4 linked regions of the Anolis sagrei genome follow. The protein of the gene in region 2 interacts with the protein of the main gene of each other region in a pairwise test. Links are inferred from orthologs where the notes say so. Each region holds a gene or a part of one and is shown on either strand. Other genes may lie near its edges.

What was found.
Region 1: the proteins of PPP1CA (region 2) and RANBP9 interact in a two-hybrid assay, tested with the Homo sapiens proteins (2 studies listed by BioGRID and IntAct). The link is inferred for Anolis sagrei from reciprocal best matches to the Homo sapiens genes PPP1CA and RANBP9.
Region 3: the proteins of PPP1CA (region 2) and ZFYVE9 interact in binary tests that used the Homo sapiens proteins (3 or more experiments, as listed by UniProt). The link is inferred for Anolis sagrei from reciprocal best matches to the Homo sapiens genes PPP1CA and ZFYVE9.
Region 4: the proteins of PPP1CA (region 2) and SH3RF2 interact in binary tests that used the Homo sapiens proteins (3 or more experiments, as listed by UniProt). The link is inferred for Anolis sagrei from reciprocal best matches to the Homo sapiens genes PPP1CA and SH3RF2.

What each region holds. Positions count from the first base shown.
Region 1 is NC_090024.1:80,067,048-80,074,491, forward strand, and holds the start of RANBP9 (ran-binding protein 9), read right to left. Parts: upstream 3,011-7,444; 5' UTR 2,683-3,010; coding exon 2,232-2,682; intron 1-2,231. UniProt on the Homo sapiens protein: May act as scaffolding protein, and as adapter protein to couple membrane receptors to intracellular signaling pathways. Acts as a mediator of cell spreading and actin cytoskeleton rearrangement.
Region 2 is NC_090021.1:232,682,155-232,689,673, reverse strand, and holds the start of PPP1CA (serine/threonine-protein phosphatase PP1-alpha catalytic subunit), read right to left. Parts: upstream 3,021-7,519; 5' UTR 2,797-3,020; coding exon 2,742-2,796; intron 1-2,741. UniProt on the Homo sapiens protein: Protein phosphatase that associates with over 200 regulatory proteins to form highly specific holoenzymes which dephosphorylate hundreds of biological targets.
Region 3 is NC_090024.1:173,922,565-173,929,965, forward strand, and holds the start of ZFYVE9 (zinc finger FYVE domain-containing protein 9), read right to left. Parts: upstream 3,012-7,401; 5' UTR 2,769-3,011; intron 1-2,768. UniProt on the Homo sapiens protein: Early endosomal protein that functions to recruit SMAD2/SMAD3 to intracellular membranes and to the TGF-beta receptor.
Region 4 is NC_090022.1:97,525,840-97,532,829, reverse strand, and holds the start of SH3RF2 (E3 ubiquitin-protein ligase SH3RF2), read right to left. Parts: upstream 3,005-6,990; 5' UTR 2,782-3,004; intron 2,398-2,781; exon of another isoform or gene 2,291-2,397; intron 1,698-2,290; 5' UTR 1,547-1,697; coding exon 1,166-1,546; intron 1-1,165. UniProt on the Homo sapiens protein: Has E3 ubiquitin-protein ligase activity. Acts as an anti-apoptotic regulator of the JNK pathway by ubiquitinating and promoting the degradation of SH3RF1, a scaffold protein that is required for pro-apoptotic JNK activation.

The sequences.
Region 1 (7,444 bases), on a different chromosome or scaffold from region 2:
AATTGATGACTGAATCCATGGATAAGGAAGGATAACTGTGCTTTGAGCAAAGACTCGAGTTTATGAAAAACTGACTTGAATGACATCATTTTGTACTCTGGACAAGAACAACACATTGGCTCTGTCTCCCATCCTTTCCTATACTCATTAGACAATTTTACCAAAGCCTGCCTTTCATAACTCAGAAGATTATCTGGATGTGTGCTTTCCAGGTTTGTATTCATTTGTGTTCTTTGGGCTTTACTATCATAGTTGTAAGGCAAGTAGTTGGCAGTTGTTGCCTATTTGGTCCTATTTATACACATCATTTTTGCTACACATATAAAAGGAAAATACTATGTGAGGCAAGAAATCCCAGCAGAGTGGATAATTCAGTTTCCTTGATATGAAATTTACTTTCTCCATTATTGACTCATGAAATTTATGGGGAAGATTAGATTAAAATACAGGGGAATCTGAAATTGAAGAACTAACATTGACTGAACTTTGAATTGTATTGTTCATAAGCAAGCACAATGCCATAGACAAAATTCCCAGAAATAAACAATGGTTCTCTAACCTTTCTCCTCAAAAACCTTTCTTCTCCTACATTTGTTCTTCCAACTTCAGCTGACCTTTGCTCTCTTGCTAAACAAACACACATTCCTTGCCCTAACTGGTTATTTTTAATTGGACACGTCACACTGACTGGCTTGCTTTCTCCTCCCCTGACCCCAAGCTGTGATTTAGCAAGAGAACTGATCAGGCGGGCAGCAGAAAACCTGCCAGTTTATATATCCTCCTCTAACCCAAAGCAGAAAGCAAAACATCCTTACATGTTTGATGGGTGGAGAGAAGCAATCGCAGAGGGAGGGATAAAGTCGGATTGTCTCCACTTGGGTTTCCGAAACTGTTCAGAAGACCCAATGAGAGTTACTTCCTGTTGTTCTATTTTTCCACATTTCCCCCTCCCTCCGTTCCCCTATGTGAGCTTCTTCGCAAGATGCTACTAAGGAAGGAATACACAAATACACACACATTACCAAGGAGTGTGTGTATACACAAATATGCTACTAAGATATATATATATATATACACACATACACACACACACTCACAAATATATGCTACTAAGAAAGGAATACAGATATACACACACTCACAAAAATATGCTAAGAAAGGAATACAAATATACACACACTTACAAATATATGCTAAGAAAGGAATATAAATATATATACACACAAATAAGTGCTACTAGGAAAGGAATACAGATAAACACATTCACAAATATGTGCTACTAAGGATTGTATACACACACAGACAAAGAAAGGAACACTGCACACACACATATGCTACTAATAAACATGAATATATTCACACGCACACATATGATTAAGACAGGAATATCATATATACAGTATATACCAGGCATGGGCAAACTTTGGCCCTCCAGGCATTTTGGACTTCAAAACATTTATGGGAATTATGGGAGCTGAAGTCCAAATCAGCTGGAGGGCCAAAGTTTGTATATACTCATCTATCTATCATCTATATACTACTGGTATATACTCATCTATCTATCTATGATAGTAAGGAATATGTTATACAGTATACAAACATATATATGTATGTATATATATGTATGTATGTATGTATATATAAACACACATATATGCTACTAAGATATAGACATAGATACACAATACACAAACACACAGAGAATATATACTAAGATATAGATATATAAACACATACACAGGATACATATATATATTTATATATATAAACACACACACAAACTTGTATATGCTTATTAAAGGGGAGGAAATAACCGCAGAGATTAACGCCACAGATCCCACCCCATTTCTCTTTCATACCCTATTAAGACCAGAGGCAGAAGGATCTGGTTTAACGCGAAAGGGGAATAACAATAATCCCAGGCCTAGTTTCCTAGAGAACAGGCCAGATTGCTCAAAATCCCACCCGAGGCCGAGGAAGGAGGCAGGAAGGCCCAAAATGGAAGAGGGGATCCGTGTGAGAAGGGGGGGGGGGGTGACTATTGTCCTCCGAAGGAGAGAAGGAGAGGGAGGGGGAAACTGCTATGTATTGAAGAAGAAAGGGAGGGGGCAGCATTGTTGGAAATCGGGGTGCACGCGCGGGGGGGGGGAGAGGGGAGCGCGCCCTCCCTCCCTCCCTCCTTCCGGGGCCTGGTCCCGGGCCTGCTCCTGGGCCTTGGGCTGGCTGCTCACCTTTGTAGTGGACGCGCAGGTTGTTCTGCGAGAGGCCGATGTAGCTGAACTTGTCCTTGGGGCTCCAGGAGCGGGGCAGCGGCGTCTCCCCCTCGTCCACGGCCGGGTAGAGGCGCTTGAGGCGGCGCTGGAGCTCCTTCTCCTGCTCGTTCAGGGCCGGGTCCCCGACGCTAACGCCAACGCCGCCGCCGCCGCCGTGAGGGAAGGCGGACGGGGCCCCGCTCCCGGCTGCCATGGAGGCGGAAGACGAGGAGGCCGAAGAAGGAGGCGGCGGCGGGGCCGAGGTGGCGGGCGGAGGTGGCGGCGGCGGGTGAAGCAGCAGCGGGGACGGGCCTGTGTGGGCCGGCGCTTGAGGTGGCGGCGGAGGAGGCGGCGGGGGAGGAGGAGGAGGGGGAGCCGTGGCCGGTGGCGGAGGCTGCTGCTGCTGCTGCTGTTGTTGTTGCCCGGACATGCCGGCCTCGTCCGCCCTCGACGGCAAGGGGAGGAAAGGGTGTCTACACGGAGAACAGCCCGAAACCGGAGTGACAGTCTGAGGGGGGAGAAGAGGAGGAGGAGGAGTCGCGGCTGCCTCGGCTGACGGAAAGCAACTGAGCTCGCGCGAGGACGAGGAAGAAGGGGTTGGAAGTGACGAAAGGCGGGGAGGATGACGTCGGCGGTGACGACATGAGCTGGCGGCGCGAGGGAACGGGCGCGCGAGTGAGTGAGTTAGTGAGTGAGGGCGCGCGCACCCACCCTCGAGACGAACGCGGCTCCGCTCGAGCTGAGGGGAAAGAAGGCTGCTGTCTCTGCTGCTGCTGGTAGGTAGGACAGTGCTATTACGCGCGCGCACACGCAGGCGCGGTGACGTCGGCGCGGTCCTGGAAAGTGGAGAGAGGGCGGGTGCGCGCTTTAGTCAATGAGAAAAAGCAAAGAAGTGTGCAAACTTGGCCCCACTTGTAAAACTTCTGAAAACGACACAAGCCTCATCTCATTCAGAATATATATATATATGTATGTGTGTACATACATATATATGTGTGTAGGTTTGTGTGTGTGCAATATATATATTCTCATTCAGAATATATGTGTGTGTATACTGTATATTTTCATTCAGAAATGTGTATGTATACTGTATATATATTCTTTATATTCTGTATATATAAACACCTTTGCAGAAGCATACGAGAAACTCGACCTGTCATTGAACATTAAGAAAACCAAAGTGCTGTTCGAGCAGACACCAACCAATTATTATTATTATTATTAAACTTTATTTGTACCCCGCTAGCATCTCCCGAAGGACTCGATGCGGCATACAAAGGCCAAGGCCTCAACACAACAACAGCATAACAAATACAACTCAAAGCAAATCAAAAACATAAAGCAATAACAACAAAACGTTACACCATAACACAGTAAAAACTAGGGCCAGGCCAAGTAATGGGTACAGATTAAAAAGTGCTGGGTGTGACAGGTGGTATGTTGGATTTCAGGACAAGTGCAATGTGCAGAGAATCTTACAACTGTAATAAAGTGCTTCAGGGACATAATGCTGGAGTTTTCCTATTCCAGAAATAGCACTGATGGAATCGTTCCAGGAGTTGCATGTGACGTCTGTAGACAGTCCACGTCACCAGCCAACCCCTCTCCAATGCCAGAGATACAGCTTAGAAAATGTTGACCATTTCCGCTACCTTGGCAGCCACCTCTCCACCAAAGTCAACATCGACACCGAAATACAACACCGCCTGAGCTCTGCGAGTGCAGCATTTTTCCAAATGAAGCAGAGAGTGTTTGAGGACCGGGACATCCGTAGGGATACCAAGGGGCTTGTTTATAAAGCTGTTGTCCTCCCAACCCTGCTATATGCCTGCAAGACGTGGACTGTCTACAGATGTCACATGTAACTCCTGGAATGATTCCATCAGCTCTGTCTCTGAAAAATCCTGCAAATCTCTTGTGAAGACAAGCGGACAAACATCCGCGTGCTGGAAGAAGCAAAGACCACCAGCATTGAAGCGATGGTCCTCCACTGGACCGGCCACGTTGTCCGGATGCCCGACCACCGTCTCCCAAAGCAGCTGCTCTACTCCGAACTCAAGAACGGAAAACAGAATGTTTGTGGACAAGAAAAGAGATTTTAAGATGGGCTCAAAGCCAACCTTAAAAACTGTGGCATAGACACTGAGAACTGGGAAGCCCTGGCCCTTGAGCGCTCCAGCTGGAGGTCAGCTGTGACCAGCAGTGCTGCAGAATTTGAAGAGGCATGAATGGAGGGTGAAAGAGAGAAACGTACCAAGAGGAAGATGTGTCACGCCAACCCTGACCGAGACCGCCTTCCACCTGGAAACCAATGCCCTCACTGTGGGAAAAGATGCAGGTCAAGAATAGGGCTCCACAGTCACCTACGGATCCACAAGAATACTGATCCTGGAAGACTATCCTACTCGCCCAATGACAGGTCACCTAAATAAGTAAGTATATATTCTGAATGAGAAGAGACTTGTGTTGTTTGCAAAAATTTTGCAACAAGTGGGGCTGAGTTTGCATATCTCTTTGCTTTTTCTCATTTATATGTACATATATGTATGTGTGTACATGAAGATATATATATGTGTGTGTGTGTACATATATGGAGCCCCTGGTGGCACAGTGGGTTAAACTTGCTGACCAAAAGGTCAGCGGTTCAAATCTGAGTAGCAGTGTGAGCTCCTGCTATGAACCACAACTTCTGCCAACCTAGCAGTTGGAAAACATGCAAATATGAGTAGGTCAATAGGTACTGCTCCGTCGAGAAGGTAACGGTGCTCCAAGCAGTCATGCTGGCCACATGACCTTGGAGGTGTCTACGGACAACATCGGCTCTTCGACTTAGAAATGGAGATTAGCACCACCCTCTAGTGTCGGACATGACTAGACTTAATGTCAGGGAAAAACCTTTACCTTTACCTATGTATGTATGTGTATATACACACACACACATATGCATACACACAGGCAGTCCCCAAGTTACAAACATCTGGCTTATAAACAACTCACAGTTAAGAACAGGGCCAAGACAACAGGAAGTGAGAGAAATCTGTCCCCAGAAAGGGAAATTCACTCCTGGAAGAGCTATTATCATGGTAGAAATGTGTCTCTACTGAAGCTTTCTCACGCATCCTTATTTCTACAAAGCCACATTTTTCAAAATCCAACTATTCCAGGGGCAGAAAGTGAGGTGAAATTTTCTGAACAGGGACACAGGCAACAAAACAAGCACCACAGGGACGTCAACCCTTCACTATTCTATCCAAACTAAACAATATGTATATTTGGCTGGAATTACACTTTAAAATGTACCTGTTCTGATTTACATACAAATTCAGCTTAAGAACAAACCTACAGAACCTATCTTGTTCGTAATTTGGGGACTACCTGTACACAAAATATGTGTGTGTGTATATCATAGAATACATATATACATACAGAATGGGAAAATGCATGCATGCACACTGTCATTCCTCCACATTTGCAATTTTGACTTTTGCGGAGTTGGTTATTCAATTCATGCATCAGATTAAAAACTATCTCCCTGGGAATCTCTTCTTTATTCATGGGTTTTCCCTTTCACGTGAGGCCTGTGGCCTTAACCCCAGCAAATGTGGAGGCCTGGCTGTATAGACAGATCCTGAATGAAGTGAAGAAGGGTTTTTTTTCCACTTAAGCTTATAACATTCCTCCACTTGAAACCTTGAGACAATACAGTAGGCTTCAGTTACAATGTCAGTAATAGGTAGGGAAAACTTGTCCTTCTGCTGATTTACCACCAACTGGTATTTCAAATAACATATAGTACAGTATGTTGTCCTATATTGGTGCAAAATAGGACTCTGCTCACTCTTTTGCCATTAGAGGCAGCACAGGGGAGAGCATACCATTTTACATGTTTTCTCTCTCTCCCTGAACATGAAAATATCACTAGTACAAAAGTAACACAGTGTGATGAGGTCCTAAAACAAACTTAATTTAACACAGTTTTACTGTATTATAAAAACCGCTTTTTATTATTTAAAATAATATTTATTTGATTTTTTTCACCAGTTAACTGAGGCCCCCTCTACACTGCCATATAATTCAAGTTATCAAAGCAAATAATCCACATTATCTGCTTTGCGCTGGATTGTATGAGTCTACACCACCATATAATCCAGTTCAAAGCAGATAATCTGGCAGTGTAGAAGGGGTCTGAGAGTTCATTGTAGAGTTCAATCAGGGGGGAGATAGGATTGGGTTCTTACACAGTTTAACTGTTTGTTTTTAATATAATTGATTTTTTTCTATTTTAATACCATTAATATTTTATTCTATTTTAATGTTTGTATATTTTTACATTTTAAATTGTATTGCAATGGTTTTACTGTAAACCAGTTTGAATAATAAATAATAATCTATATAAATAAAAATGTGATGTTTGTTTGGGATTAACATAACTCAAAAACCACTGGACGGATTGACACAAAATTTGGACACTACACCCCTACCAAACCAACGAGTGACCATCACTCATAAACCTCTCCCAAAAAAACAGCAGAAAGGACCTAAAAACCCCAAAAAAGTAAATGACAATACAACGCATGCGTGTCAATGACAACTCCCAGCATCCCAAGTCCTTTAGGAGAGGAGGGTGCACCAAATGCACTGCTTCCAAGCTACAAACTTGCTTCTCCTTGGATTTCTTTGAGAGTATTCCAATCCATACATATTTCCTATTTCCTATTCCTGGACTGCAACTCTCAGCAATCCTCCAGATAAATAAGATATATATATTAGATATAGATAGTAGGCAGACAGATGAATCAGGTTCAGGAGGATTGCTGGGAGTTACAGTCCAAGAATAGGTAGAGAAGGAAGGAGAGAAAGAAAAAAGGAAGGGGAAGGAAAGAAAGAGTTAGAGAAGGAAGGAAGGAAGGAAGGAAGGAAGGAAGGAAGGAGAGATGGAAAGAGAGAGGGAAGGAAGGAAGGCGAGAAAGAGAGAGAGAGAGAAAGAGGGAGGGAAGATTGGTCACAGCAATTTGTGGTGGGTACAGCTAGTCTTATATAAATAAAAATGTAATGTTTGTTTGTGGGATTAATATAACTCAAAAACCACTAGATGAATTTGGACCAAATTTGGACACAATTCGCCTATCAGGCCAATGTGTGACCATCACTCATAAAAACACTGAAAAACACAGCAGAAGGGACTTAAAAAG
Region 2 (7,519 bases):
GCAATGGATTCAAATTGCAGGAAAAGGTATTCCACCTAAATAAACATCAGGAAGAGCTTCCTGGCGGTAATAGTGGAATATGCTGCAACCTGAGGGTGTGGCGGAGTTTCCTTCTCTAGGGGTTTTTCAGCATTGGGTGGATGGCCATCTGTCAGGAGTGTTTTGATTGTGTTTTTTTTTCCTGCAGGCAGAAGAAGCATGAACTGGATGGCTCAGAAAGCACCATAAAATAAATTAAGTCAATCAATTAATTAATTAATTAACTTTAGATGTTAACTAGTTACCATGTTAACTATATTTTTTGAAGCAACTTCCTATTATTAATGGCAATTTTAGTTAAGTTTAAAGAACACCTGAATATTATAGGCAGCTACTCTATGGCACAGAAGGCTATCTTACTTTCTTTTCATAGAATCATAGAGTTGGAAGAAACCTCATGGGCCACCCAGTCCAACCCCCTGCCAAGAAGCAGGAAAATTGCATTCAAAACACCCCCGACAGATGGCCATCCACCCTCTGTTTAAAAGCCTCCGAAAATGGAGCCTTCACCACACTCTGCGGCAGAGAGTTCCACTGCTGAACGGCTCTCACAGTCAGGAAGTTCTTCCTAATGTTCAGGTGGAATCTCCTTTCCTGTAGTTTGAAGCCATTGTTCCGCGTCCTAGTCTCCAAGGAAGCAGAAAACAAGCTTGCTCCCTCCTCCCTATGACTTCGCCTCACAAATTTATCCATGGCTCTCATCATATCTCCTATCAGGCTTCTCTTCTGCAAGCTAAACATGCCCAGCTCTTTAAGCCGCTCTTCATAGGGTTTGTTCTCCAGACCCTTGATCACTTTAGTCGCCCTCCTCTCTTCCATTCTTCCTGTGAAGCCCTCCTGGAGTGCAAACTTGTCCGGGGGGGGGGGCGCTTTGGCTAGGGGCAGCCCCCTTAAAGGGGCCCCTGGCTGGAGGACAGAGGGAGTGTACCCGCCCACTTCCGGCTCGCCTTAAGGCTTGGGGACCCTGGGGATCTCACCAGGCCTTTGGGCTTCTCTGCCAAAGAGGGCGACTGCCGCCTCGCCAAACTGCGACTCCTTAACACTCCAAAGCATTGGTTAAGCTGGGGCCACACCGCATGCACTCCTCTGTGTAGATGCACCCATTCCCATAGATGCGTAATACGCAGCAGCCCCTTCTTCCCCAGAGCCATGATGTTTCCCTAAGCGATGAAGAGGGCCGCCTCCACGCCCAAATCCCCCCAAACCGCCTCTGCTTTCTGTGCCTAAAGGTGGGAGTCTTAAAGGAAGCTTCACCCATACTCAAAACTCTCCTCGCCCTCCCCCCAAAATGGATGCATCGATCTACATTGTAGAATGAATCCAGTTTGATCCCACTTTTAACTGCAGTGGCTCTGGAATCCTAGGACTGGTCGTGCCGCGAGGCACTCCTTGGCAGAGGAAGCTGAGAAAGGCCTTTTGCAAGCGACGACTCCCAGAATTCCAAACCATTGCGCCATGGGCGGTTAAAGCGGGGTCAAACTGCGTTAACCCTGCAGTGCAGAGGCACAACAACAAGGAGAATGTCTGCCTCCGCCTCTCCCCCTTTTGGGGCACATTCAGGGGGCGGATGAAGCTGATAAATATGGCCTTTTCAAGCGAGGACTCCCAAGATTCCAAACCACTGAGCCCTGGTCGGCTAAAGCGGGATCAAATTGCGTTAACCCTGCAGTGTAGAGGCACCACAACAAGGGGAATGTCTGCCCCCGCCTCTCCACCTTTGGGGGCCCATTCAGGGGGCGGATGAAGCTGATAAATATGGCCTTTTCAAGCGAGAACTCCTAGGATTCCAAACCACTGAGCCCTGAGCGGTTAAAGCGAGGTCAAACTGCGTTAACCCTGCAGTGTAGAGGCACCACAACAAGGGGAATGTGTGCCCCCCCCTCCACCTTTTGGGGCCCATTCAGGGGGCGGATGAAGCTGATAAATATGGCCTTTTCCAAGCGAGGACTCCCAGGATTCCAAACCACTGAGCCTTGAGCGGTTAAAGGGGGGTCAAACTGCATTAACCCTGCAGTATAGACACACCGCAACAAAGGGGAACGTCTGTCTCCCTTTCTCCTTCTTTTGGAAGAGGATGAGGCGCCCTTTTCGTTTCCCTTTGGCCTGGAAAACTCCCCCAATCCGAGGCCCCAAATACACTTATCACACTTGAGAATGAATCCACTTAAAATCCGGTTTCTGGCTCCTGCAGAATTCTAGAGTTTGTAGTTTAGTGAGGCTGTTAAAAGCTCCTCCCTAAACTACAAACCCCAGAATTCTGCAGGAAGCAGAAACCGGGTTCAATGTGGATTCATTCTCTAGTGTGATGAGGTCTTGAGTGGCGTTTCAAACCGGTATGGAAGAAAGTGTAGAGACACGACTCCATAGGAGGAAAATCCTGGAACCAGTTTGACTGCCCGCCATGGGGAAGAAGACAGGAAAGAAGGAAGGAAGGAAGGCACAACCCAATGGAAAGAAGAGACCGCGCACCAAAGTATGGGCTTCCTACAAGAGAGAGAGAGAGAGAGAGAGAGACAGACAGACAGACAGACCCAAAGGGACTGGTGTGTGTGTGTGTGCGCGCGCAGGAAGGGCTTCCTTTCTCTCGCGGGTGGGAGCTTGTTCCCAGGCCGCCGCAGTTGGAAAGCGAGCTTGGATCCGCATTAAATATCCAGTGGAGACGGGGCTTTGGGGGAGGGACAAGGCGGCTGCTCAGTGCTCACCTTCCAAGAGGCGCCCGATGATGGAGTCCAGGTTGAGCTTCTCGCCGTCCGACATGGCGGGAGAGGAGCGTCTCGGGGCTGAGACTGAGCCTTCCTTCCTGCCTTCTTTCTTTCCTTCCTTGCTGCTGTTTCCTGGGAAAGAGGGAGCGGCCGGGGAAAAGGCAAGGGCAAAGCTTTCCGTCCGCGCCTCCTTCTCGCCGAAGAGCCTCCGCAGCCGAAGCGAGGGAAGAAGGAAGAGAAGGAAGAGAAGGAGGGAGGAAGTGGAAAGGAGTGACGCTGCTGCTCTTGCTCCTGCTGCTCCTACTCTGCCAACCACCTCCTCCTACTGGCTGGAGGGAGCAAGGCTTTCCTGCGATTGCGCCAGCATTCTCTCTCTCCGCTTCCTCCCAACACAAGGAAACAGAGACACAGGCAAACCTGGGCCCTCCAGGTGTTTTGGAATTCAACTCCCAGCCTTCCTCACAGCCTCAGGCCCTTTCCTTAAGCGGCTGGGGGGGGGGGGGGGGAAGGGCCTGAGGCTGTGAGGAAGGCTGGGAGTTGAAGTCCAAAACACCTGGAGGGCCAAAATTTACCTGCGCCTGATCTACACGGTGTAAAGAAATATAGGACCAGGCTGAGCACCACACCTGGCCCTGGGCCAGAAGGTTGCCAGCCCCATTTTGGAATGTGTTTTCAACCTGGATAGAGATGATTCACTCTGTGTGTCATTCAGAAACCATGTGGTTGTTGCAGGGCGCCTTTGAGTCAGCTGATGGGGACCCTAAGGCAAACCCATCATAGGAGTCATAGGAGTTGTGGTTTTGCAAGGTCTTCTGCTGTCTCTGCCTCACCAAACTCCCACCATTCCATAGCATGGCGGCATGGCGGTTAAAGTGGTGCCAAACTGCGTTCATTCTACAGAGTAGATAAGTTGTTCTCAACCTTCCTAATGCCCTGGCCCCTCAATACACTTCCTGATGTTGTGGTGACCCTCAACCATAACATTATTTTTATTGCGAATAATAATAATAATAATAATAATAATAATAATTGTTGTTCATTCGTTCAGTCGTCTCCGACTCTTCGTGACCTCATGGACCAGCCCACGCCAGAGCTCCCTGTCGGCCGTCACCACCCCCAGCTCCTTCAAGGTCAGTCCAGTCACTTCAAGGATGCCATCCATCCATCTTGCCCTTGGTCGGCCCCTCTTTCTTTTGCCTTCCACTTTCCCCAGCATCATTGTCTTCTCTAGGCTTTGCTGTCTCCTCATGATAATAATAATAAACATTTATACCCCGCCACCATCTCCCCAAAGGGGACTCGGAGAGGCTTACATGGGACCCAGCCCGAACAAAAATTACAATATAACAATACAAATTGCAATCAAATAAACAACATAACAGTAAAATATAAAACATCAAAGCATATAAAACAATATACACAAAACATAGGAACTAAGCATAATGACAGACAAACAAAGGGCGGGTCGCATGTACATAAAATGATTTAAAAACTCCGGGTGAGATAAGGGGGCAGAACTAATTGTAAGGGTGAACTCAGAGAGAGATAGGAAATTAAGCCAACATTCGTAGGGGGGGGGGGGGGGGACTCCTGAGATAAGAACATTGGAGGAGCGCTAGCATAAAATTATATGGCTACTCTTCAAAAGCGCAACGGCAGAGCCAGATCTTAAGACTTTTTTTAAAGTTTCCAAGGTAGGGGCTTTCCTAATCTCTCCGGGCAGTGAATTCCAGAGCCACAGAGGAGAAGGCTCTCTCCCTTGTACCCACAAGGCGAGTCTGAGAGACTGGCAAGGGCAAAAGGGGGCCTTGCCCAAGCATGAAGCCGGGGGGGGGGGGGGGCTTGAGGGGCTTCAGCCCCCCCCCCCCCCGAAATTCTCATGGTGGTTCGCAAAAAGGTGCATTATTTAAACTGTTATGTTTATTCATATCATTATCTGATCATCATGCTCAATATATCCCATATACATGGGGGTATTGGGGTAACGATACAAAAGGTTTGCTAGGGTAGACCCTCTTTCACTCAGATTCAGCCCCGCCCCCCGAAACAAACTCAGCTCCCCCCCCCCCCCCGAATCGAAATCCTGGATACGGGCCTGGCCTTGCCCGAAGATCAAAGCGTACATAATACACTTCCTGATGTTGTGTTGACCCTCAACCATAACATTATTTTCATTGCTACTTCATAACTAATTTTGCTACTGTTATGAATCTATATAAATAAAAATGTAATGTTTGTTTGTGGGATTAACAGAACTCAAAAACCACTGCACGAATTGACACCACATTTGGACACAAGACACCTAACAACCCAATGTAGGTCCTTCACCCAAAAAAATTTGATTTTGTCATTTGGGCGTTGTAGTTGCTGGGGTTTATAGTAGCATCTTGAGACTGAGAGAAAAAGATGTTATTATCAGCTTTCATAGCCCAAATATATGTAGTAGATGTAGCTTTTTAAGGTTATGCTTCCATTGTCTTTCAGTCTCAAAGGTGCTAAGATATCTGTTTGCAAAGGGATATCTGGCTGATTCAGATGGGGTTTTTGATTGTTTCATGAAGTCTCCTTTTTCTGTCGTTGATTGCAGTTTTGTTGTTGTATTTGTTCTATTTACCAAGAAAATATAGTCCAAAATATAGTCCAAAACAGAAGGAAGGAAGAAGGGCAGAGGGCTAGATAGAAATCTAATGAGTAAATAATACCTACACCAAGGTCGTGCTCCAGAAGGATGATACAGAGTGCAGCTTGTGCCGATGGGAAGAGATGGGAAGAGATGACACCATCTACCTGTTGATTCTTCCCCAGCACCTGTGAACTCAGAGACAACATCTGGTGGGGTCTCCTTGTGTGCAACCCCTTCTGGAAAGCATTGTGGGTAGTTATCCTGTGTTTTCTTTTTGGGGAGTTGTTTTCTGCTCTCTTCCACTGTGTCATGCTCCCCACCCCCTTTGCTTTCTTTACTACTACCGTCCCTTGCATCAGGAAATGGTTGCGGGAGGAAATGGCTTGCAGAGCGTGTGGGGAACTCAGTCACAGCAGCAGCAACAAGGGGCATAGTCATGGGTGCAAGGTATTGCTCGGCTCAGAGGTGATGCCCAGGCCTCAGCAGGTGGCATGAAATAAAGGACCTGTCAGCAGTAGGGTCTACAAGTAAGATTTGAAGGGGAATATGTCGGACCCCTCTCTTTCAGCAGAGCTTCCTGAGGACAATGTAAACCAAGCTTTGGCTGGACTACCAGATGCTTTTGATTTCTCCCTGCGGGACGATGCCAGCTCCCTGGGCTCTGACTCTGAGCTGAATGGGATGCCTCCTTATCGCCAGACAGATCGCTTTGGCTTTATTGGGGGCAGCAGCCTCCAAAATGGGTAAGAGAGAAACTTGGGGAAATTAATATTTTGGACTACATTTCCCAGATTTGGAAAGTTGTGGTCCAAGCTCTGGGGGCCTCTATTGCTCCCCCCCCCCCACCACCACCACTCTCAGTTTCCATGGGCTTCTATTGCAAAGACTATTGGGATGGGAGGAGTGTGTGGCTATGATGTGCACAAGACATAGCACTTGAGACGAAAAAGCTAGTGAATATTCTCCCTGCTACAGGTTGATTGTATAGTTCAGACATGGGCAAACTTCACCCCTCCAGGTGTTTTGGATTTCAACTCCTACAATTCGTAACAGCCTACCAGCCATTAGGAATTATAGAAGTTGAACTCCAAAACACCTGGAGGGCCAAAGTTTGTCCATGCCTGGTATAGTTGCATCCATCTTCTGTTTTTGGAACTGACAATGACTTAAGAAAGAGTTAGTTCTTCCATTAGAGTTCTTCAATGACTGTCCCTAATGAGATTTCATCCAAACAATTTAGACTATAACATCCATAAACTCCAGCCAGCAAGTTGGTGGTCAGTGATAATAAGATTGGGACCCAAAACAATTGCAGGATATATGGTAGACCTGACCTTGTGCTTAACCAAAGCCACGTTTCTAATAGAGATGCCAGCTTTATAACGGTTTTTATAATGATAACGTTAGGAAAGAGGGGTGCTAAAAAGAAGTGACACAACCCATAGACTTCATATATTAAGCTCCAGGAATTGCTTTAGGACTGTGTTAACTTTACATCTTTGTTTTTTAAATGTTAAGTTGGATTTGACTGGCAATTCTACAAATCAGAACCCTTCAAGACACTTTGTCATTATTAGCTCTGCACAAGTCCTGCAAACTCAGGACTTATTTAACGAAGGGTGCATATACACTGCAGAATGAATGCAATTTGATGCCACTTTAATAGCCATGGCTCAATGCTACGGATTCCTGGCATTCGTTGTTTGGTGAGGGACCAGCATTATTTGGCAGAGAAGGTTAAAGACCTTCTCAAACTACAGTTCCCTTTACTCCATAGCACTGAGCCTTGGCAGTTACTTCATCACATCTGAAGATCTTATCTAATTCTTCGTGGTTATCCTCCCAAGACCTACTGTTCATAAAAGAAATAAGTGAAAACTAGTCAGTGAAGCATTTTCACATATAGACTCAAAAGTCAGAAATGTGACAGATAAAGATTTATTGCTTGACAGAATTCATATTTTCTTGTCACAATAGCGTTCAATGATTCAAGTAGCTGTAGGAAGGAACATTCTGGTTCTGTGAAAAGCCTGTCCCTCCCTTTCTCATTTGAATATAACTCTTTTGGGTTTTCTGTACCCTTGGATATAGTATAATACAAGAACTTTTGCAGCAGCATTACGTGTGTGTGCATGCACACACACACACACACACA
Region 3 (7,401 bases), on a different chromosome or scaffold from region 2:
GAAAAAAACAACTTTATTTATATGTGTAACATTCTAAGACCCAACCTATTTTAGAGATGTTTATGGGGGGGGGGGGGGGACACTAAGAATTTAAGAAATCCAGTATGATCAGCTATGAAATAAAAATAAGTTCTACCAACAAACCTTCAAACCCCTACATTTACCACATGATAACATACAAAGTAATAGTCTGCTTACTGTTTAATCTGGAAAGCACTTCACATATTTTGTCTCAGGAAGTTCTGGCAATTACAATTCAAAAGATATGGAGTGTGAAATAGACTCCTGAAAGATAACTGTTTGCTAGCACATGATTGCACCTTTGCACTGCTAACTAATAAAGTGTATTTATTCATTTTGTTCCCTGTAAGGCCAAGCCCAGAAGAGCATGTGAACCTTTAGACACTATTAGACATTACTCAAACCAGAACTCATTCCTGTATATATACGTTCCAGGTTTATTATATTAAATAAATGAGACATTATCATTCTAAGTATCTATGTCCTACACATCAGCTGTCCTTTTAACCTCCAGCATGACCTCTATGCTTCCTTCCTCGTTCTATTAGCCTCTTCGAAATTTGCATCAATTGTAAGGTATACATGCACAAGAACAGGCTCAGAGCTGAAAATTTATATTAACTTCTCCAAATCATTCAGAGTTTCTAGATTTTGCACTCTGGGCCTGTTCTTATTATTCAAATCTATTAATAAAACAATAGGTTGTTCGAATGCATTTCAGTCCAATACACATAAATGCCTCAGATGGCCAACACCTAAGCATTCAAGCAAGATAACTTCCTGTAATGCCCATAATAAAAGTAAAGAACAGCTTATTGCATCATCTGGGCCTCCCTATCCACATTACTATGAATGAAAAAGGCACCGTTTGAAAAATCTGTCTAGTCAGTTTTATCACTAGGATGAACTCTGTTTACACAGGCATAACTACAAAGATGATTAAAAGTAACCTTGTGTCCCAAAAAGCATTCTCGTTCAGCAACAGTGGCACCTTTCAAATTATTTTAATAGGGAACACATTATTTGCAAAGAATTAAGCCAGGTCAATGGAAAGCACCTCAGGCAGGCACAAAATAAGACACGTAGCAAACAGGAGTCGTATCAGATATATATCTGGGGGGGGGGGGGGGGGACACCTGCCTATATCAGTGGTTCTCAACCTGTGGGCCTTGATATTCTGGGATATAGGGCTGTGTGGAAGGCTCCCCTGTTGTCTCACTCCTTTATGAGTTGGATGTTTGAAAATAAGGGACTGTCTGTATGTTTGTGTGTGTGTACACATACATGCATAAATATATATGCACATACTTATTTTGTGTCATTATATATAGATTGGGGGGGGGGGGTCCACACAGCCATATAACCGAGAATATCAAGGCAGATAATCCATAATATCTGCTTTGAACTGGGTTATTTTTGGATCCTTCCACACAGCTGAATAAAATCCTAGTTATGTTTTGAACTGGGATATATGGCAGAGTGGGCTCAGGGCCCTTCCAGATAGCCATATAACCCTGAATATCAAGGCATAAAATCCCACTATATCTGCTTTGCACTGGGGGCCCTGGGTCATCTGAGTCCACACTGCCATATATGCCAAATCAAAGCAGATAGTGTGGGATTTCCTGCCTTGATATTCTTGGATATAGGGTTGTTTCAAAGGGCCTTGGGTTATCTGAGTCCACACTACCATATATTCCAATTAAAGATGATAGTGTGGGATTTTCTGCCTTGATATTTTTGGATATAGGGCTGTGTGAAAGGGCCCTAGGTTATCTGAGTCCACGCTGCCATATATTCCAATTCAAAGCAGATAATGTGGGATTTTATTCAGCTGTGTGGAAGGGGGCGGAGGTATTCCAGGCCCTTTCCCACAAAGCTGAATAAAATCCCACATTTCCAGCTCTGAATTGGAATATATGACAGTCTGGACTCAGATCATCCAGTTCAAAGAAGATGTTGTGGGATTTTATTCAGCTTTGTGGAAGGGGCCAGAGAGAGAGAGATGTCCTATTTTGTGTCATAGATGCGCACACCCATACATAGAGAGAGATACATCTTATGAAGCAGCAGAGCAGGAAAGATGGGTGCAAGAAGGCAGAACTGCAAAAACAAGCAAGGAGTATGGACAGGGGAGGAGGAGGTCTGGAGGGTTACTCCGAGGGCACTTCCACACAGCCTTATATCCCAAGGCAGAAAATCCCACAATATTTGCTTTGAACTGGGTTGTCTGAGTCCACACTCAGGTAATGTGGGATTTTCTGTCTTAATATTCTGGGATATAGGGCTGTGTGGAAGGGCCCAGAGTCTACATTCAGATAATGTGGGGTTTTCTGCCTTGATATTCTGGGATATGGGGCTGTGTGGAAGGGCCCCGAGAAGGGGGAAAGGACGTAAGGGCGCGGGGCCTGTCCTGAAGGGGAGTGGGCAGTGCTGAGGGGGAGGGAGGGAGGGTTGTTGTTGTTGTTGCGGCCACCTGGGAAGGAGGGGGAGGGCGCTGCCCCCAACGAGGCGCCCCCAACTCTTTCCTGAGGCGGCGAGGGGGCCTGCTCGGCCGGTGAAGGAGGAGGAGGAGGTAGAAGAAGGGGGCGCAAGGCGGGAGACGAGGCTCCTTCCCAACGGGGGCTCAGGAAGGACAAAAGCCTCAGGGAGAGGGAAAGAGATAGAGAGAGCGAGGGAGACTGGGGCCTGGGCGGAGGAGGTGGCGGGGAGGGCAGAAGGGCCTGCCGGGCGAGGGGCTCGCTCACCTCAGGAGGCGCCGCCACCGCGGGGCCTGCATGGCGGGCGTGCGGGCGGGCGGGCAGGCAGGGAGAGAGGAGGGTGCCGAGCAGGGAAGGCCAGCTCCGCTCGGGCCCAGGCTCCTCCGGCTCCTCCGGCTCCCGCTCGGGCCCTGGCTCCGTTCCGCTCCACTCCACTGGGCGGGCAAGCAAGCGAGCTCCTCCTCGGTGGCCCGCTCCTCGGCTGACTCCTCGCGAAGCCGCCTCAGCCCGGAGACACGAGCGCCCCCTGGCGGGACCCGGAGGCAGAGCACGGCACTGCGGCACCAGCGCCCAGGCAGGCAGGCAGGAGGCGGGACTCCCTCCGCAGGGCGCCAGGGGCGACTCCGCCTGGTCATGCTCCATTTTCTCCTCCTCCTCCTCCTCCTCCTCCTCCTCCTCCTCCTCCTCCTCTTTTGCCGCCTTCTCCTCTTCCTTTTCCTTCCCCCCTCTCTCCTCCTCCTTATCCTTCCTTCCTTATCATCTTTTCCTTCTTCTCTTCTTCCTTTTCCTTCTCCCATCTCTCCTCCTCTTATCCTTCCTTCTCTTCTCCTCCCCTCTCTCCTCCTGTTCCTTACCCTTCTTTCTTCTCTTCTTTTCCTTCCTCTCCTCTTCCTTTTCCTTCTCCCCTCTCCTCCTCCTTATCCTTCCTTCTTCTCTTCTTTTCCTTCTTCTCTTCTTCCTTTTCCTTCTCCCCTCTCTCCTCCTCCTTATCCTTCCTTCTTCTCTTCTTTTCATCCTTCTCATCTTCCTTTTCCTTCGCCCCTCTCTCCTCCTGTTCCTTACCCTTCCTTCTCTTCTTTTTCTTTTTCTCCTCTTCCTTTTCCTTCTCCCCTCTCTCCTCCTGTTCCTTATCCTTCCTTCTCTTCTTTTTCTTCTCCTTCTCCTTCTCCTCTCTCTCCTCCTTCTCCTCCTCATCCTTCCTTCTTCTTTTCCTTTTTCCCCTCTTCCTTTCCCTTCTCCCCTCTCTCCTTCTCCTCATCATTCCTTCTTCTCTTCTTTTCCTTCCTCTCTTCCTCTTCTCCTCCGTCCTCTTCTCTCCCTCTTCCTTCTCCTCCTTTCTATTCTCTTCCTTTTCTTTCTTATCCTCATCCATTTCTTTCTCCTCTTTCTCCACTTCCTAACGCCTTCCTCTTCACCTCTTCCTTTTCCTTCTTCTGCCACTTCCCTTCCTTTTTTCTCCTCATCCCCTTTTCTTCTTTCCTCCCCCTCTTCCCCTGCCCTCTTTCCTTTTCCTCCTTTCTCTTCTCTTCCTTTTTCTTCTTATCCATCTTGCGTCCAAATTTGTTGTCAATCTGCCCAGTGGTTTTTGAGTTACATTAATCCCACAAACGAACATTATTTTTATTTATATAGATGGATCCCACTTTATTTGTAAGCTTGTTCAGACCAAATTAATGCTTTAAAAAGGGGGGTGGATATAAGGATTTTAGAGATGCTAAGGTGGGGCATGACCTCCCCTCCCCCCCCCCCCCCAAAAAAGGTTGGGAACTACTGCTCTAGGCTCTCCAATGCAATTCTGTGGTCAGTTTCCAGTGGAAGTTGGCCATTGCATTGAATCATTCTGAAAGACCGACCTAGCCATGAGTGCTCTGCATTGCTATGAGTTTTCTGCGCTGTATGGCCATGTTCCAGAAACATTCTCTCCTGACATTTTGCCCACACCTATGGCAGGCATCCTCAGAGGTTGTGGGGTCTCTTGGAAACTAGGCAAGTGAGGTTTATATATCTGTAGAATGTCCAGAGTGGGAGAAAGAACCCGTCTGCTTGAAGCATGTGTGAATGCTGCAATTGGCCACCTTGATTAGCATTGAATGGCATTGCAACTTCAAAGCCTGGCTCCCTCCCACCTGGAAGGGCCAGCTAGCACCTCCCAACAAAGGATTTCCAGACGCAGGAAGCAGCCAGGCTTTGATGCTGCAAGACCATTCATTCCAGAAGCATTCAGGAGAGAATGCTTCTGGAACATGACCATACAGCCCAGAAAACACAGCAACCCAGTGATTCCTGCCATGAAAGCTTTTGACAACACAATGTATACTCTCATGTTTTAAAAAAGTATCAGATTCTGAATTCAGGGTTTTTCACTTTCCTTGTGGTCCTGTACCCCTAACCCCAGCAAATATGGAGGGCTGATTTTAATACTAAATATTAACTAAAGCACAATAAGAATCTGGCACAAAAACATACGCAATCAAAGGGTAATAAAATAGGTTTTTGTACAGTCGATAAAAATATAGGTTGTGCATCCATTATCCAGATTTCTGAAATCCTCCAGAATCCTAAATTGTTTGCATGGGTGACAAAATGGTTCACAAAATTTATTTTATGCACAACATTAAAAATGCTGTGCATAAAATTACTTTCAGGCTATGTGTTAAATATTAAATACTGTATATATTAACTTCTTGTTTAGACTTGGTTCCTATCTCCAAGATATCTCATTAAGTATCTATATGCAAATAAATGCATTTCTAAATAAAAACAATACATGAACTCCAAAACACTTCTGGTCCCAAGCATTTCAGATAAGGAATATTCAGCCTATATGGACTTTAATCAGGAAGGTTATATCTTTAAAAAAAACATAAGGATTTCTTGAAACAACTATATACCTAGATTAAAAGGGGGGGGCAGGGTAAAGTTAATACAGTTGCCTTTTAGTTATATGCTAATACAGACACTTATTTGCTGGTGTCAATTGGCTTTGATTTATGGCAACTGTATAAATACAATTCCCCCAAAAGACTGGTCATCATCAGCTCTGCTTTGGTCTTGGAAGGTCAAGGCTGTGGCTTCCTGGATTAACTCAATCTGTGTGTAATACCATCTTCTTCTTTTTCCTTTTTCTTTCCACTGTACTGAGCATTAATATCATTTACACTTAGTCACGTCATCTCATTAAATTTCCAAAGTACGGTTTCCTCAGATTAGTCATTTTGGCTTCTTGTAAGAGTTCAAGTTAGATTTGCTCTTGGACTCATTTATTAGTCTTTTTGGCATGTGACTCTGGTATTTAATCATGTATCTTTTTCCACTTGAATATCTTTTTTTCCTTTACAGCTGCTTTCTGGTTCCTCGATGCATGGGTGAACCAAGATATAGAAAATCTTTAGCCATTTAAATGTCTTAATTATGCACTATATTAACAATAAATTATTGTGTTTGGAGTAATGTATACCTAACTGCTCCATCAATGGCCAAGGTAGATATGAGCATGAAGCTATATATTCATAAAAATATGCATTGTTGCCATCATTGTCAATTGTCCAGCACATCCTTTGAGTCTATGGCACCCAGAAAACTCTGCTTTTGATCAAAAAATCACTTTCAAATACATTTTTAAATACTTCTCGTTCAATTTAGAGTCCCATCACACCTCAGGAAATTGCTTGATTAAATTGTCTCTTGTTATTCCTAGCCTAGTGGCTACTCACATTAATACAAAGCATCTTGTTGTGCTTTTTGAGACTAGAATTCCTAGCATACCTTTTAATAGACTAAGTCTTTTTATTTAGATTCATCTAAGAATACTTATGCTACCAACTTGACTCTCAGTTAGCCTCTATGACAAGATTTGATATTCCAGACTAATTCAGCTATATCTTTGAATTATACCCACACTAATGTTTCCAACTAAACTACGTTAGAGCTTTCCAAACATTTCATGTTGGTGACTTACTTTTTAGACCTGGACCATTTAGCGACACAGTAATTCAGTTTTATTAGCAAACCAGAGGTTAAACTAACTCCTTATAAGGGATACTAATACATACATAAACTGTAATAACTAAAAGCATGGGTACATAAGGTATCCTATTTAAACCTTTCATATCATATAGACTCAGAGGTTTCTCATTACGTGTTATTGAAGTCTGGGTTGCTGTGAGTTTTCCAGGCTGTATGGCCATATTCCAGAAACATTATCTCCTGACGTTTCACCCACGTTTATGGCAGGCATCCTCAGAGGTTGTGAAGTTTGTTGGAAACTAGGCAAGTGAGGTTTATATATTTGTGGAATGTCTCTTCTTTGTTTGAGGCAAGTGGGAATGTTGCAATTGGCCAGCTTCATTGGCATTGAATAGCCTTGCAGCTTCAAAGCCTGGCTACCTTCTGCCTGGCGAAATTCTTTGTTGGGAGGTGTTCCAACAAACCTCACAAACGCTGAGGATGCTTGCCATAGAAGTGGGTGAAACATCAGGAGAGAATGCTTCTGAAACATGGCCATACACAGCAACCCAGTTTCGCATTACGTTCGTGCAACACACCTACATACTGTAGTTGACACACAAATGCATCACAGCACACAGGTCTGCTTTACATAAAAATAAATCAGTTCCCATATTATGCCTGGCTACAGAACATAACATGTGACACCATACAGTTTAGAGAGAAAGTTCTTGGTATCAGACCATCTGTAATGTGTCTTCCTCTTTTTCTTTTGCCTTCCACTTTACTGAGCATTAATATCGTTTTCAGTTAGTCATATCATCTCATTGTATTTCCAAAGTATGGTATGGAAATGAGTCATGTTGGCTTCTTGTGAGAGCTCAAGCTAGATTTGCTCTTGGACTCATTGGTTTCTCGTGCAGCAGGAAAACAAACTTAGAAGGAACTCTGACTG
Region 4 (6,990 bases), on a different chromosome or scaffold from region 2:
AGAAGATGGGTGAAACTCTAGTGATAGGCACTTAGTATGCGATTGATCTAGGTTACAGATAATTTCAAGTTTGACAAGTATGGGGTGTGTGTGGAAGACACTGGGTTGTTTTCCCCAATTACAACTTGCTGTGGCTGTTTATCTAGGGTGCTGCTCCAACAAATTACAATCAAAGATGATACCACACAGAATTAAGTAGGAACAAGCTTGCCTAAACCTATCCTTACTGGTGTCTTTTTCACAACTGAGATTTCCTTCAAATGCCTTTTTTCTTTACAGGGATGTCTCACAACAAATAGCCACCGATGAAGGAAACCTGAATCAGAACTCTAAAAATGCATCTGCTTTCCCTAGGAGTATACTTATATAAGGCATAATTAGTTTCAAAGAGCTTCCTGCAAAGTCATGCTTTTGCAAAACCATATTAAGAAGCATTCAGAGTCAAAGGTATAAAACCCCGGAGGCTTTCGCTCTTATAGACTGAATCCTCCACCTATGCCAAGAGCCAAATCAACACACTTGATCCCCCAAAATATGTGCAAAGTCAAATATGTGTGGAGGGGGTGGAACTTGCTAGGAGCTTTCTGTGTAAGACCCCAGAGAAAAGTGTTGGTATGACTAGGAACAAGAGAATCTAGGGCACAGCTGACCTACTTTTTATCCATACTCAGATCCTGCCACATCCCTTTAAAAGGATCAAAGACTCCCCCTCCCCCATGCTCATGTTGTAACAGGACAGAATAAATCATTATTTTCAAAAAGGTTCTGTGAAAAATCAAACCTTTCTGTATCCTCGACAGGTGTGAAAGTTGTTTTTCTCTCCCACATCTAAACATTTTTTCCATTCCCTGGTTTAATCTAAGACTGGAAATAGAAGGGACTCTAACGTCACTTTGAAAAGCCTCTGTACAATTTCAGGCTCAGCTGGAGAGAGCAATCCCTTGAAAACATGGGAACCAGGCTCTTAGCTTGAAATTGTTCCAGTCAGAATAAATTTACACCTAAAAACGAAGTTGCTGCAGAGATCCAGTTAAGATAACTCGGTAGCTTAGAAGGAAGGCAACCAGCTTTGGCATAAACTGAATCTATCCAACACCCTTACAATGAAAAATGGCCTACAAATCTACTAACTGAGATAATGATAAGAGAAAGGGAAGATTCTTACCCCTTCTATAGGGATCCTGGGATTGGAAGTCAGCCCATATTGGTGGAGTTGCAAAGCTCTTGGCTCTCCCCGGACTCTCCTGAGGGAAGAGGGAGAGGAGAGAGTCCCATATCTTTGAAGTGAGCCATACTTCATGACATTTGATCCAAGTCTGATTTCATCCAATAAGCGGATCAAAAACAAGTTGGCAGGAAGCTCTTCGATTCTGCAGAGGACAGGGGCTCGGCATTCTGGGCATCTCAACTCCTTGTGTAATTTCAGGATTCTCTGGAGGCAAGGCTTGCAGAAAGTGTGTTGGCAGGGGAGCACCTTGGCTGAAATATCCAGCTTCCCCAAGCACAACGGGCACTCCAACATGTCAAATAAAGCTAAATCGCCCATATTAGGGCAGTTGTTACACTATTATTTTAATGTTAAATGGAGAGCTGGAAAAATCCACATAATGTTTATTGGAGTAAAGGACAGTTGCTCAGGAATATTTCACCATGAACCTTGTGGATTCATGTAATTTTTGAATCTGAAAATCAACATCCTGTGTGAAGAAAAAGAAGAGAGAGGGGGAAATTGCAGAACCTGACAACTTCAGTGTTATGAAATGTATGCCACCTACATTTTGTAGCAATGTTTCATGATCCAATTTGCACCATGTATTCCCTGACAACCCCACACAACCAAATTTAGCAGAAAAATAATAATTTGCAAATAAATGCCAGTGAGCAGAATTGTTGCCTAATGAGTGTCAGGAAAGACCCATGTTTCATTGACTAAAGATTAAAAACAAGAGAAATTAATTTTTTCCATGATGTGATTCTCCCAGAGCAATACAATCTTCCATGGGTGTACTGATGAAGGATCATTCTACCTTAAAACAATGCACCCCCCAAAATAAACATCCAGTGAAAACAGTAAAATGTGCACACCAGATAAAGAAAGAAGGTGTTCCACTGACACACATGGCTTAACACACTCTACCCTTTTTATTCTCCTTTTCTAAATCAGGCATCGCTTACACATACTCTCTGAGAACCACCCACAATGTTTCGCATTATCTTAAAAAGCATTGCTGAATTTTCTATATTTTCTCATTTGCAAGTCACTTTGATGGCAAACATTGCTTTGGCGTACCTGGAAGTTCAGACAGCATTTCTTGATTTCAGGGACTGGCAGTATTGTAGCTTGCTTTGATCGTCCAAAAGAAGGGGGGAAAACCCTCCCACTGCCTAAAAGCAACTCAACCTGTTTAGCACCTTTCCGACAGTTTGCAAGCTAAAGTGAAACAGATACTTAATCCTGAATTCAAGTCATGGCCTGCGGAAAACCTGCACCATCCCATATTACACCAAGGTGCCTGTGTATTCAAAATCAGGAAAACATACTCAGATCAGTTCTGCCAAATGGTGCTCCTGTCCTTCTATATCCTAAACCTTGAAAAATCTTGCGTTATATAACACTTCAAATCATTAGCCGGCCACTGAACAAGTTACACACTACTGGGAAGAGTCATAAGCTATAAGTGCTAAAGCTTTTCGCAGAGTATGGCTTCCATTTGAAGGAGGAAACTGTGAAGAAAAGGAAGAAAGGAAGAAAGTCTACTAATTTTTGGCAGTACCACTGACCTTGTGTTCATGACCCCTTCAAAACGAGTTCAGCTCACGGAATAACTGCTCCTGGTGTTGCTTTCCCCTTTTCTCACTCTCCAAATTGCAGCCGCATTGAAAACTTTAACTAGGTGCATTACTCACTTAGCTCAACTTAACACATGCTGCCTTGTTAACTCATAGCTTGCCAGCCTGTGACTCCTACATATACTTCAGGCAAGTGAGAACAGGGAAACAGAATTATTAACTAAGAAAGAGGAAACCGTTGGTGCATTTTTCTCCTGGAGGAAAAAAAATGCTTGAGCTAATCTGGCTTTGTACCAGTGCAACTTTGATCAATAAATTGGCTCAGCCTTTTTTTTATGAAGCCAATCTGTTTTAGGAACCAAGGAGGAGGTGTGTAGAAGGGTGAGAAAACAAAACCATGGAGAGTCTGCACACAAAGGCAAAGAAAAACATGAAGTACACAAGGAATGCAGTTGTGGGGGGTTAAGATTGTAGTCCAGTACTGGTTTCCCTGGGAGTGAGCCCCACTGAAATTCAAAGGGACTTACTTCTGAGTAGATATATACAGATCTGTACTGTACCAAGGCAGAGCAAAACATGAGATGTAATTGACTTTTTGTGGGATGGCTGTGTTTATATAGGATTAAGTCACAGTGTTTAAAAAGTTTCTTTGCAACATTTTCACTGCAGAATACAAAACATGAGAAATCTAAAATAAGAGCCTAAATTGGCAAGCATAGTACTGGTAAAAGAGCCAGCATATTATACCTCGGTGATACTTGTGGGCTTCTCTAATAATCTAGAATTCCAGTAGGATGGTATAGGAGTTTTTTTAATGCTCCCCTAAGGGACAGTTTTTATTGTTGTGGACAACTACTTTAGGAAAGCATTGCCTTCAACTGAAATCTTGATGAAGTGGACTTCTCCTGCCCTGTCCACTCAGCCTATATGTATAGGTGTATGTTGACAAGATTATTGGAGAGGTGAGAGTGACCACGTGCATCCTGGACCCGTCTATCCTAGCTGATAAAGGAAGCCTGGGGGTGGGGGTTGGCAGAGTGGGTAAAGGTGGTGGTTAATGCCTCCCTTTGGGAAGGCAAAATTCCAGTGAACTTAAAAGAAGCTGTGATAAAACCTCTGTTGAAAAAACCTTCACTGGATTCCACTGCTTTGAACAACTTTTGACCAGTCTCCAACCTCCCCTTTTTGGGCAAAGTCTTGGAACGTGTGGTTGCCTTGCAGCTCTAGGGGTTCTTGGACGAAACTGACTATCTGGATCCGTCGCAGACCGGGTCATGGAATTGAGACAGCCATGGTCGCCTTAGTGGATGATCTCTGCAGAGCGCTTGACAGGGGAGTGTGTCCCTGTTGCTTCTCTTGGACCTCTCAGCGGCCTTCAATATCATAGACCATGGTATCCTTCTGGGTCACCTTGCAAGGATGGGCCTTGGGGGTAGTCCTCTGCAGTGGCTTCAGTCCTACCTGGAGGATCATATCCAGAAGGTGTTTTTGGGGGAAACCTGCTCGGCCCCGCAGCCATTGTCCTGTGGGGTTCCGCAGGGCTCAGTATTGTCTCCCATGTTGTTTAACATCTACATGAAGCCATTGGGTGAGATCATTTGGAGTTTTGGAATTCGACGCCAGCGGTATACTCCTTTCCACCGGTTTCTAAGGAGGCTGTCCAGGTTGTGAATCGGTGCCTGGCTGCAGTGACGGTCTGGATGAGGGTGAACAAATTGAAGTTGAATGAACACAAGATAGAGGTCCTCCTGGTCAGTTGCAAGGCTGAACAGGGTATATGTGCTGGATGGGGTAACACTCCCCTTGAAGACACAGGCTCACAGCTTGGAAGTCTTCCTGGAGGGCACATTGCTGAGCCTGGAATCTCAGGTTGCGGAGGTGGCTAGGGGAGCTTTTGCACAATTAAAACTTGTGCACCAGCTGCGCCTGTACCTTGGGAAATCAGATGTGGCCACGGAGGTCCATGCTCTCGTTACATCCAGGATAGACTACTACAATGCACTCTATGTGGGGTTGCCTTTGAAGATTATTCGGAAGCTTCAAATAGTCCAATGGGAGGCAGCCAGGTTAATAACTGGGGCAGTATACAGGGAGCATACAACTCCCATGTTATGTCAGCTCCACTGGCTGCCTGTTTACTACTGGGCGCAATTCAAAGTATTGGCTTTGGCCTATAAAGCCTTAAACGTCCCTGGCCCAGTTTACCTGTCCAAACACATCCCCCTTTATGAACTACCACAAAGACAAAGTCTTCTGGGGAGTCCCTGCTTTCGGTCCTGCCACCGTCACAGGTGCCTTTGGTGGGGATGAGAGGCAGGGCCTTCTCAGTGATTGCCCCCGGCTATGGAACTCCCTTCCTGGCAATATTAGATAAGCCCCCTCCCTCCTGTCCTTTACAAGGATGGTGACCAAGCCTTTGGGCAGTTCAATGAGGCAATAATAGAATCGTGTCCTGAGATGGTTTTAAACAGTTGATTTTAAAGTCGATATAACTGATGTTAATGTTTATGTATATTAATAGTTTATGTCCCAGCATTAAATTTTTCTGTATATTGTGCTCCACCCTGAGTCTGCTGTGGGATGAGAAGGGTCTAATATAAACATTTTAAATTAATTAATGTTATAATGTTATAACTTCTGTCCCTAGGGTCCTCTGGAGCCACATGAACCAATAAAAGTGCCCTCACTCAGAAATCTGAATGTGGCTGGAGCTCCTTCTGGTTTAGATATAAATATACATATTAAAGTTAAATAGTTTAACAGGGAAGGGTGGAGTATAAGCTATTTAAAAAGTAAATTGCTAATCCTGGAAACCTCTAGGAAAAGCAATATTCCCTTTTTAATGACAAGTAAAAGGACAGTTGAGAAGTCTGGATGGGCTGAAGGTTGGAAAGGATACATTTAGCCCTAGAGCCCATTGTGTCCACACAAAATGTACACATATATGATATATGCACACATGTGCTCACAATAATGATTGTAATATAATCAGTTGGCGTTGCATTGAGGAGCTTCTCTTGGGTAAGGAAAAGTTGGATACAAAGTAACTGGGAGCCTGTGGGCGGAGGCAGGCTCCCAGTAGGGTGGATGCAGCATGACATGAAGTAAGAAGGAAAGGAACTTGTAATTCTTGTAATAAATGGTCCTATTCTTTTCTCTACCTCATTTGCAGAAGTGACAGCTACCTTCAGCTGAGAAGAACCACAAGAGGCTTACAGTGTTTGGCATTTCTGCAATTATAAATGTATTTTATCTCAGTCCACCTTTTTTATATATTCACTCATCACTGGAAATTCTGACAAACTGTCAACATACATTACAGGGTTTTATGGCTGTACGTTTATTAATTTGTCATTCATTTGTTTTACAATTACTTCCTTGTAAACTGTTATGCAGCATCAAGAGGCCTGACCAAATGGCATACAGGCAGTTCCCAAGTTACAAACAACATAGGTTCTGTAGGTTTGTTACTAATTTGAATTTGTATGTATGTCAGAGCAGATACATTTTTCAGTGTAACTCCAGACATATATGTGGTGTTTGTTTTGTTGCCTGTGCCCAAATTTCACGAAACTTTCTGTCTCTGCAATAATCAGATTTTGAAACATTTGGCTTGTTGTGGAAACAAGGATAGGAGAGAAACCTTCAGCTGAGACACCTTTTCTCCATGAGAATACTTTCAGGAGTGAATTTCTCTTCCTGGGGTAGATTTCTTTCACTTCCTATTTAGTGGAGTATCTAAGTGGAGTATCTTGCATTTGTCACTGTTGAACTTCATTTTGTTAGTTTTGGCCCATCTCTCTAATCTGTCAAGATTGTTTTGAATCCTGCTCCTGTCCTCTGGAGTATTGGCTATCCCTCCCAATTTGGTGTCGTCTGCAAGCTTGATGATCCTGCCTTCTAACCCTTCATCTAAGTCGTATTGAAACATTTGGAAGACCCTTTTTTGTGAGCTGTTCAACAAAGGAAATGATTTCATCATAGGTCAACAGACCCTCCTTCTTTGGATTTCTTTAAACAGAAGTTGATGGGTATCTTTCAAGAGTGCTTTGGTGGTGTATTGCTGTATGGCAGGAGGGTGGGCTAGAGCTGGCATGGGGAAACTTCAGCTCTCCAGGTGTTTTGGACTTCAACTCCATAAGTCCTAATAGCTGGTAGGTCCTTCCAACTCTATTATCCTGTGGGTCTATCATTTTAATG